Macaca mulatta: one gene and its partners. The protein of the gene in region 1 purifies or fractionates together with the protein of each later gene. This does not show direct contact. Links are inferred from orthologs where the notes say so. Each region holds a gene or a part of one and is shown in the gene's direction. Other genes may lie near its edges. The genes, in order: MKI67, G3BP1 and IFI16.

Evidence for each region.
Region 2: the proteins of MKI67 (region 1) and G3BP1 purify together in Homo sapiens (affinity purification with mass spectrometry; 3 studies listed by BioGRID and IntAct, with this or other methods). This does not show direct contact. The link is inferred for Macaca mulatta from reciprocal best matches to the Homo sapiens genes MKI67 and G3BP1.
Region 3: the proteins of MKI67 (region 1) and IFI16 purify together in Homo sapiens (affinity purification with mass spectrometry; 3 studies listed by BioGRID and IntAct, with this or other methods). This does not show direct contact. The link is inferred for Macaca mulatta from reciprocal best matches to the Homo sapiens genes MKI67 and IFI16.

What each region holds. Positions count from the first base shown.
Region 1 is NC_133414.1:140,141,580-140,145,237, reverse strand, and holds part of MKI67 (proliferation marker protein Ki-67), read left to right. Parts: coding exon 1-1,346; intron 1,347-2,535; coding exon 2,536-2,970; intron 2,971-3,658. UniProt on the Homo sapiens protein: Protein that associates with the surface of mitotic chromosomes and acts both as a chromosome repellent during early mitosis and chromosome attractant during late mitosis.
Region 2 is NC_133411.1:160,744,635-160,747,591, forward strand, and holds the end of G3BP1 (ras GTPase-activating protein-binding protein 1), read left to right. Parts: intron 1-940; coding exon 941-1,147; 3' UTR 1,148-2,413; downstream 2,414-2,957. UniProt on the Homo sapiens protein: Protein involved in various processes, such as stress granule formation and innate immunity. Plays an essential role in stress granule formation.
Region 3 is NC_133406.1:107,874,414-107,877,384, reverse strand, and holds part of IFI16 (gamma-interferon-inducible protein 16), read left to right. Parts: intron 1-336; exon of another isoform or gene 337-473; intron 474-1,125; exon of another isoform or gene 1,126-1,325; intron 1,326-1,562; coding exon 1,563-1,982; intron 1,983-2,971.

The sequences.
Region 1 (3,658 bases):
GTGATGAAGGCATCAAAGTATTTAAACAACGTGCAAAGAAGAAACCGAACCCAGTAGAAGAGGAACCCAGCAGGAGAAGGCCAAGAGCACCTAAGGAAAAGGCCCAACCCCTAGAAGACCCGGCCGGCTTCAAAGAGCTCTCTGAACCATCAGGTCACACTCAGGAACCACTGACTGCTGGCAAAGCCACTAAAATACCCTGCAAATCTCCCCCAGTAGAAGTAGTAGACACCACAGCAAGCACAAGGAGGCATCTCAGGACACGTGTGCAGAAGGTACAAGTAAAAGAAGAGCCTTCAGCAGTTAAGTTCACACAAACATCAGGGGGAACCACGGACGCAGATAAAGAACCAGTAGGTGAAGATAAAGGCATCAAAGCAGTGAAGGAATCTGCAAAACAGACACTGGCTCCAGCAGCAAGTGTAACTGGCAGCAGGAGACGGCCAAGAGCACCCAGGGAAAATGCCCAAGCCCTAGAGGACCTGGCTGACTTCAAAGACCCAGCACCGGGTCACACTGAAGAATCAATGACTGATGACAAAACCACTAAAATACCCTGCAAATCATCACCAGAACTAGTAGACACTGCAACAAGTTCAAAGAGACGGCCCAGGACACGTGCCCAGAAAGTAGCAGTGAAGGAGGAGCTGTTAGCAGTCGGCAGTCTCACACAAACATCAGGGGAGACCGCGCACACCGACAAAGAGCCGGTAGGCGAGGACAAAGGCATGAAAGCATTTAAGCAACCTGTAAAGCGGAAGCTGGACGCAGAAGATGTAATTGGCAGCAGGAGACGGCCAAGAGCACCTAAGGAAAAGGCCCAACCCCTAGAAGATCTGGCCAGCTTCCCAGAGCTCTCTCCAACACCAGGCCACACTGAGGAACTGGCAAATGGTGCTGCTGATAGCTTTACAAGCGCTCCAAAGAAAACACCTGACAGTGGAAAACCTCTAAAAACATCCAGAAGAGTTCTTCGGGCCCCTAAAGTAGAACCCGTGGCAGACCTGGTAAGTACCACAGACCCTGTAAAATCACAGAGCAAAAGCAACACTTCCCTGCCCCCACTGCCCTTCAAGAGCGGAGGTGGCAAAGATGGAAGCGCCACAGGAACCAAGAGGCTGCGCTGCATGCCTGCGCCGGAGGAGATCACGGAGGAGCTGCCAGCCAGCAAGAAGCAGAGGGTTGCTCCCAGGGCGAGAGGCAAATCACCGGAACCCATGGTCATCATGAAGAGAAGTTTGAGGACTTCTGCAAAAAGAATTGAACCTGTGGTAGAGCTGAACAGCAACAACATGAAAACCAACAAAGAGGAACACAAATTACAAGACTCGGTCCCTGAAAATAAGGTGAGAGGAAGTATTACAACATCACCCAATATCATCCTGGATAGTTGTCAGTTTCTGTGTTATACTTTGCATGTAACCTGACATTATAAGTGGTTATCATGGCCGGGCGCGGTGGCTCACGCCTGTAATCCCAGCACTTTGGGAGGCCGAGGCGGGCGGATCACAAGGTCAGGAGATCGAGACCATCCTGGCTAACACTGTGAAACCCCGTCTCTACTAAAAATGCAAAAAATTAGCCGGGCGAGGCGGCGGGCGCCTGTAGTCCCAGCTACTCGGGAGGCTGAGGCAGGAGAATGGCGTGAACCCGGGAGGCGGAGCTTGCAGTGAGCCGAGATCGCGCCACTGCACTCCAGCCTGGGCGACTAAGCGAGACTGTCTCAAAAAAAAAAAAAAAAAATAAGTGGTTATTTCCCAAATGGGTTTCATTTAACACAGTGAACAACTGCAGGCCATGGTAAAGAATCTTCTTGGGACCTATAAAGGGAACAGACTAATTTGGGAAAAGAACGAGTCAAAAATGATAAAATGATTAATGCAAACTTAGAAGAGTTTCTCAAGAGCCAAATGAGTAATGTTCATCTTCATATGTTTGAAAAATTGATCAGAGGATAGGTGGGTGGTTCAGTTCTATGTTCTAGATACTGTCACCAAGACCAGGACTGGGTTAAAAATAATATCTATGTCACTATTTTAACTATCAGAACAATATCGATAGGGAGTGTGTATTCTTGAGAAGGGGGGAACTGTCTGGACTGTTAGAGAGGTTCCTACTGCATCCGGAGAAGTTTGGGGAAACTCCAGAAATGGTAATTTCCTATTCTGCCTTAGCAGTGATGGTTAAAGGAATAGGAGTTCATTTACTCTCTGTAAATGAATGAATAATGGAGCTTCTTTCTATAAACTGTAAAAATTAGAGTTGATATATGTCTTTTTAGGCATTGTTATTGAAATTTATCCTGAATGCCTTATTTGTAATTTGTCAGCAGAGACAGTCATTTCTCCATAGGAACAAAGTACCAAGGCATTACCTTGACTATCTTAGATGACAGGTTTCTTAGAAAATTCATCAGTGAGTAATTTTCAAATGATTTCTCCTTTTAGTTTACTATTGTTGATTGTTCTCCCTGTTGAATTTTGAATTTGTTTTACTAATTATTGGAATTCTGTGGATGTCTTCTCATTTCTTTAGGGAATATCCCTGCGCTCCAGACGCCAAAATAAGACTGATGTAGAACAGCAAATAACTGAGGTCCTGGTATTAGCAGAAAGAATAGAAATAAACAGAAATGAAATGAAGACCTCCCCAGAGATGGACATTCAGAATCCAGATGACGGAGCCTGGAAACCCATACCTAGAGGCAAAGTCAGTGAAAACAAAAGGTGCTTGAGGTCTGTGAGACCGAATAAGAGCTCCCAGCCTAAGGTGGCAGAGGAGAGCGGAGGGCAGAAGAGCGCAGGGGTTCTCATGCAGAATCAGGAAGGGAAAGGAGAAGCAGGAAATTCAGACTCCATGTGTTTGAGATCAAGAAAGACGAAAAGCCAGTCTGCAGCAAGCACTTTGGAGAGTGAATCTGTGCAGAGAGTAACGCGGAGTGTCAAGAGGTGTGCAGAAAATCCAAAGAAGGTAAGCTATTTACTGTTTTCCGTTTTTAGAAGAGACAGTGTTTTGATCTATTTTTTTGCCCAAGGTTGCAAAGGCAAACAAAAAGCATTATTTTCAACAGCCCTCTGCCAGCTCCCAGTTACATTCATGGAAGGAGCATTATCCTAAGACATACGTTTTGTCATTTTAGTTATATTTTGTTGTGTCTGCTTTGGGGATTCCACTTCAAATAGCAAATTCACATTATGAAGACTTTCTTCAGAAAGAAAAGGAATTTGTCTAGTGGCTAATTGACTGCTTATGATGTACCTCATGATACAATTGCAGGTAGCTGTCTTCAGCCTTTCTGTAGTTCAAAAACACCTATTGAAACAGAAAAGTTCTTCCCCCCCCCCAAAAAAAACAAACTATTGAAACAGAAAAATGTCCAAGGAATTCTTTGGAAAGGTAGAAGGAACAGAGGTTGGGGTGGCCCTGAGACACACGCTGACTATGTGAGAATTCCTGATCAGTGGGGAGTGCTTCTGCCCTCCAACCCCCCTCTAGCCAGAGACTATCTAAGCTAATGAGCTTTAAGTGCTACTGAACTCACATCAAGTTTAGCCACACATAATTACAAGCATGTGGACAAATCGATAAGAATGATTAGATTCCATTAGTGTTCTTCTGGGGAATACTTGATTTAGCTAAAATAAAAATAGGTTGAATT
Region 2 (2,957 bases), on another chromosome or scaffold:
ACAGTACCATCTTTTCGCATTGGCGGTGATGAGGTTTTATTCTAAGCCTCCAAATCTATGGAGAAGGTGGCAATTCTTTATTCAATTTACATAATTATATGAGAAAAAATAAGTACGATGAGAGTTAACTTGTGCTGCTGTGCTATTTAAAATGGCTTTTTAAAACTGGCCTGCCTACCTAATCACCTTTCCAGGTATTTGTTAATGGTAAATTGTATGTTCTCAGTTAAAAACTGAACTGTTGTAATCCCAGCACTTTGGGAGGCTGAGGCGGGCGGATCACTTGAGGTCAGGAGTTTGAGACCAGCCTAGCCAACATGGCAAAGCCCTGTCTCTACTAAAAATACAAAAATTAGCCAGGTGTGGTGGTGGGCGCCTCTAATCCCAGCTACTCTGGAGGCTGGGGCAGGGAAAATCGCTTGAACCTGGGAGGCAGAAGTTGCGGTGAGCCAAGATCGTGCCATTACACTCCAGTCTGGGTGACGAGTGAAACTCTGTCGCATTAAAAAAACAAACAAACAAAAAACTGAACTGTGAGAATTTAGCTGATTTATAATCTGCTGGTTCTTTTTTTTTTCTGAGACGGTGTCTTGCTCTGTTTCCCAGACTGGAGTGCAATGGTGCGATCTTGGCTCACTGCAACCTCTGCCTCCCAGATTCAAGTGATTCTCCTGCCTCAGCCTCCTGAGTAGCTGGGACTACAGGCGTGTGCCATCATGCCTGGCTAATTTTTGTATTTTTTTAGTAGAGATGGTATTTCACCATGTTGGTCAGGCTGGTCTTGAACTCCTGACCTCGTGATCCACTTGCCTCAGCCTCCCAAAGTGCTGGGATTACAGGCATGAGCCATTGCCCAGCCTCTGCTGGTTCATTATTATAGCTTTCTTTGATAGTGATAGCTCATCACTACTCTTAAGTCTGGTCACCTTGATTCTTACAGCCTATCATGTTCAGAGGTGAGGTCCGTCTGAATGTCGAAGAGAAGAAGACTCGAGCTGCCAGGGAAGGCGACCGACGAGATAATCGCCTTCGGGGACCTGGAGGCCCTCGAGGTGGGCTGGGTGGTGGAATGAGAGGCCCTCCCCGTGGAGGCATGGTGCAGAAACCAGGATTTGGAGTGGGAAGGGGGCTTGCGCCACGGCAGTGAATCTTCATGGATCTTCACGCAGTCATACAAACCCTAGTTCCAACAGAATGGTGAAATCTTCGACCAGCCTTTGGTATCTTGGAGTATGACCCCAGTCTGTTATAAACTGCTTAAGTTTGTATAATTTTACTTTTTTTGTGTGTTAATGGTGTGTGCTCCCTTTCCCTCTCTTCCCTTTCCTGACCTTTAGTCTTTCACTTCCAATTTTGTGGAATGATATTTTAGGAATAACGGACTTTTAAAGAAGAAAAAAAAAACTGAATTTCCTTGCTTACTTTGCATATACAGACTGGATTTTTTTTTTAACAGCCATTTCCCCAAAGGAATGTCTTGTGTATTACTGACATTTGGTATGTTTCCTTCATTGGAATATTTCTTATTTTCTATGTGTTTCAAAAGCCTGTAAGAAATACAGGATTTGATAATATTTTGAAGGCAGGAAAAACCCAAATTGTTTCTTCTTTGAGAGTCATGACTACCTTCTAGTGTGGAGAAATTGCCATTGGAAAATTTGACAATTTTGATTCTCACTGGTATGTTTAAAAACTGAATAAAAGGAATAGAAATTTTCTTTTGATAAAGGATCACAAAACAATTCTAAAACCTGTTTTTACCATTGAAATTTAAATTGTGATAATAGGTTTTAAATGTCTAGAATGCAACGGATAGGCTTTTCTTGAACTGTTGTTTTTTAAAGTAGTTTTTTCATGTTTAATTTGTATTTGTAAAAAAACAAAAAGCAAAAAAATTCCCAAAACTTAGATAACAACCAGAGCAAAACTGTTGTGCCTTCTATTTATCTTTGATTTCAGTCTTGGCAATTGTTTAAACAAAAATAATTAAAAAAAAATCTAGATTTGTTTTATTAGGTCCAGAGTATGTGGGGAATTACAGAATCCCTCTTTCATCACTTTGTGTATGTCTTTTGTTAACGTGTTTGTTATGCCTTATTCTAAAATTGAGTCTCAAACTGGAATGCCTTCGAAGACAGATGCTTCTATAGAGGTTCTTTGACCTAAATAGTTCAGCATTTGTATTTTTATTCTGGTATCTAATCAGATTCCTAATCATAGCCCGTAAGAAGGAATGTTACTTTAATATTGGACTTTGCTCATGTGCTCGTGTCCGCATTTTTTTTCTTAAAATCATAGCCATATGGTAAATTTTCTATTTTGTTATGGTTCTTTTATTGATGGGCATGCAGTGGGTGTTACTTGGAAATGGCCAATTTTTATTAAAATATTTCTGGAAGAAAATTTAATCTGGCAATATAGACTAATACTCGTTTCACATATGTGTTATTTGTTGAGTGCTGTGTGTGAGATGGGTGAAGGTTTTGTTTACACGTGTGAAACAAATTTTGTTTGATTATTTGTCATTACTAATTGAAGGGCAACCAGGTTGTAAAATTCAGCGTATTTATTTTCTTAACAGTATTCATCTTTAGGACTGTCGTTCGAAGATAGCATAGGAATATTTGGTTTGCGTTACTGAGAAACTCTAGGTTTGCTGTGATGGTTAAGACCACATTGAAGTTGGTATTACCAGTTTGGTTCCAGTTCCTCAAATATTTGAAAATTGGCAGCATCTCCTTTACATAAACTTAATGTAACTGAATCACATGGGTTTTTTGTAGGGTTAGTTTAAGTAACTTTGGTAACCACTTTTGGCCCAGATCAGTGATAATAGGAAGAAATACAACTTATACTTGTGTAGCTTATATTAAGCGTGTGGTGGGTGGAAAGAAAAGTTTAGTCTGAGTTAGTTTGGAAAAAAAAAATTACTTTGTGGTAACTTCAAGGTAATAAAT
Region 3 (2,971 bases), on another chromosome or scaffold:
GAGTAAATCACTCATATATTTTTCCATAACCCATTTTTTTATTAATATATCTTGAACTGCCATTCAGTCATACAATATAGATTTAAATTATTTTATTGCACCAGAAAAATTGCAGTTATTCCATACATTATCAAATGATCCTACATTATTTGGCTTTATGTTGTTTCCAGTATTCTGTGTATTTACAACGAACAGTATAAGATCGCATGCCTCTCAGATCTTTCATTGTCCTCATAGTAGCTTTATAATTATTTCCTTACGTCCTGTGCACCTTGTGTCAGGGTACTGATGTCATGGCTATTGTGAGGTGATTTGATACTGATTAACTTCATTGGGAATGGGTTTCCTAATGCTATGGAAAATTTGCCACACTGATGAGTTCATTAGAGTTAAATCCATCAGAGAGTTAAAGCCATCACTCACAGGTGGCCTATATAATCTTCCGGGTCAGGTCACACTGCTGATCTGTGGAGGCAGCCATCCTGCCTCCATGTTCTGGTCTCTAAGACTCCCTTGATCCCTTCTTGCCTCCATACTTCATCTTCCAGATCAACAGCCTACCCTGCAATTCAAAGTCCTCTTCTACAACTCAGAAATCGTGCAGGCCACTGTGGAGACAGGAGGTTAAAGAAAAGTCCCCTCCTGCCTAATTTTCCAAGTCCATGACTCTTTTTAGTTCCTGCCATTATTCAGATTGGACAGCCTCTAACCTGGGCCCCTTCAGATTAGGGAAGTTCATGGAGTCTTCCAGTGGCTGCCTCAATGATGTTTTTGCAACACAGTGCTGCTTCATTGGAAAGGGCTTTGTGATTTGGGTCTTTAAAATGCCCCTATCTACTAGAATGAGTTCCAACTGAAATCTCATGAAATCTAAGGTTTGTGATTGAGACTATTCCTTACTCTGAGTGCTATTAATAGTGATTTTTTTCTCTATGTTTATTTTTATTTTTTTGTTGCTGTCATATTAGGCAGGAGGGGACTTTTCTTTAACCTCCTCTCTCCACAGTGGTCTGCACTATTTCTGAGTTGTAGGAGAGCACTTTGAATTGCAGGGGCTGCTGATCTGGAAGAGGAAGTATTGAGGCAAGAAGGGATCAAGGGAGACCTAGCGACCAGAACATGGAGGCAGGACAGCTGCCTCCACGGACCAGCAGTGCTCAATGTGACCTAACCTGGGTAGAAAGGAGTAAAATTGAGATTCTTTTAAAATTTCATCTCTTTTGGGAGTCACTTCATGGCAGCTTTGCCTTTACCCTCTGCTTCCCCATACCTCTTGATAGGGGATATGCCTTTTCTTTATGGGTTAATTCTCATCAAAAAAGAAATATTCTTCCTTCCACTCTCATAAAACAATGACGATGATAAAATCACTCCTTAAATCTTTTTAATTTCTTCCGTTACCTAAATTATACTATCTCAGTGATCTCTGTCTAGTTTTCCCTACTTCACCCAGTTAAGGTGATACTTGATGACCAACACTGAGACTGGGATGACTCTCACTAGAGAGTGACCCTGTATTTCCTGTTTTAATTGTGCCTGTGTTTTGGTCTCTACATTCTAAGTTGACACCAAGACTGAAGACTGGACCCGAAGAAGTTTCCACATTAGACGGTGTCCAGAGTGACCTCAAAGAAGTGATGGTGCTGAACGCAACAGAATCATTTGTGTATGAGCCCATAGAGCAGAAGAAAATGTTTCATGCCACAGTGGCAACTGAGAATGAAGTCTTCCGAGTGAAGGTTTTTAATATTGACCTAAAGGAGAAGTTCACCCCAAAGAAGATCATTGCCATCTCAAATTATGTTTGCCGCAGTGGGTTCCTGGAGGTATATCCTTTAACAGTTGTGGTTGATGTGAATGCCGACCGAAAAATGGAGATCCCACAAGGATTGATTAGAAGTGCCAACACAACTCCTAAAATCAGTTATCTTTGCTCACAAGCTAAAGGAAGTTTTGTGAATGGGGTGTTTGAGGTACATAAGGTAAGCCCACACCATTGTTTTATAGTTTCTCCTGCAACCCCAAATTTTTAAAGTCTTGTCAACTGGAGTTTGGTCAACTTACTCAACACAGGAAATCAACCCCTTCACCCCTCCCAGCACTAGAGATAATTGAATAGAGTTCATTTCAGGATATGGGGTACTTTATATCTCAACATTCCTCTTCTTAAGGTGTCACCATGCAAGTTATTTAGAAAGACAGTCACTAGGCTGGGCGTGGTGGCTCACGCCTGTAATCCCAGCACTTTGGGAGGCCAAGGCGGGGGGATCACGAGGTCGGGAGATCGAGACCATCCTGGCTAACAAGGTGAAACCTCGTCTCTCCTAAAAATACAAAAAATTAGCCGGGCGTGGTGGTGGGCGCCTATAGTCCCAGCTACTTGGGAGGCTGAGGCAGGAGAATGGTGTGAACCTGGGAGGCAAAGCTTGCAGTGAGCCAAGATCATGCCACTGCACTCCAACCTGGGCAACAGAGCAAGACACTGTCTCAGGAAAAAAAAAAACAAAAGACAGTCACTAGGGAACTTGGCATTTTATCAGCTGTGATGATCTATTCACAGCCACCCTTGTCCAGGGCAGTGCAGTTTATATCAACACATATATCCTTAGAATTTTGTTTCTTTGAGTTCTGCTCCATCTGCATCAATGACAACTTAATTTAATTGTGAACAAAAGAGTTGCTCTCCCAAGCCTGAATCCTGATTGTGACAATCAGAGTAAGAAATCAAATAGACTACTCTGCTTTAGAATGCAGCTATGTCTAACAGTTAGCTAAAATTCTGATCATTTGGACTTCAAAGTGTTCTTGCCTCTTCTATTCATTAATTCATCAGGAGATTGTTGAGCAACTGACTTCTGCATTAAATAATAAGAAAAATACGAAAGCAAAAAGACTAGAAGAGTCACATAGCTTAACTGCTCAATTTATAAATAGGGGCAATAAAATGCAAAAAAAAAAAAAGCTTCGTGAA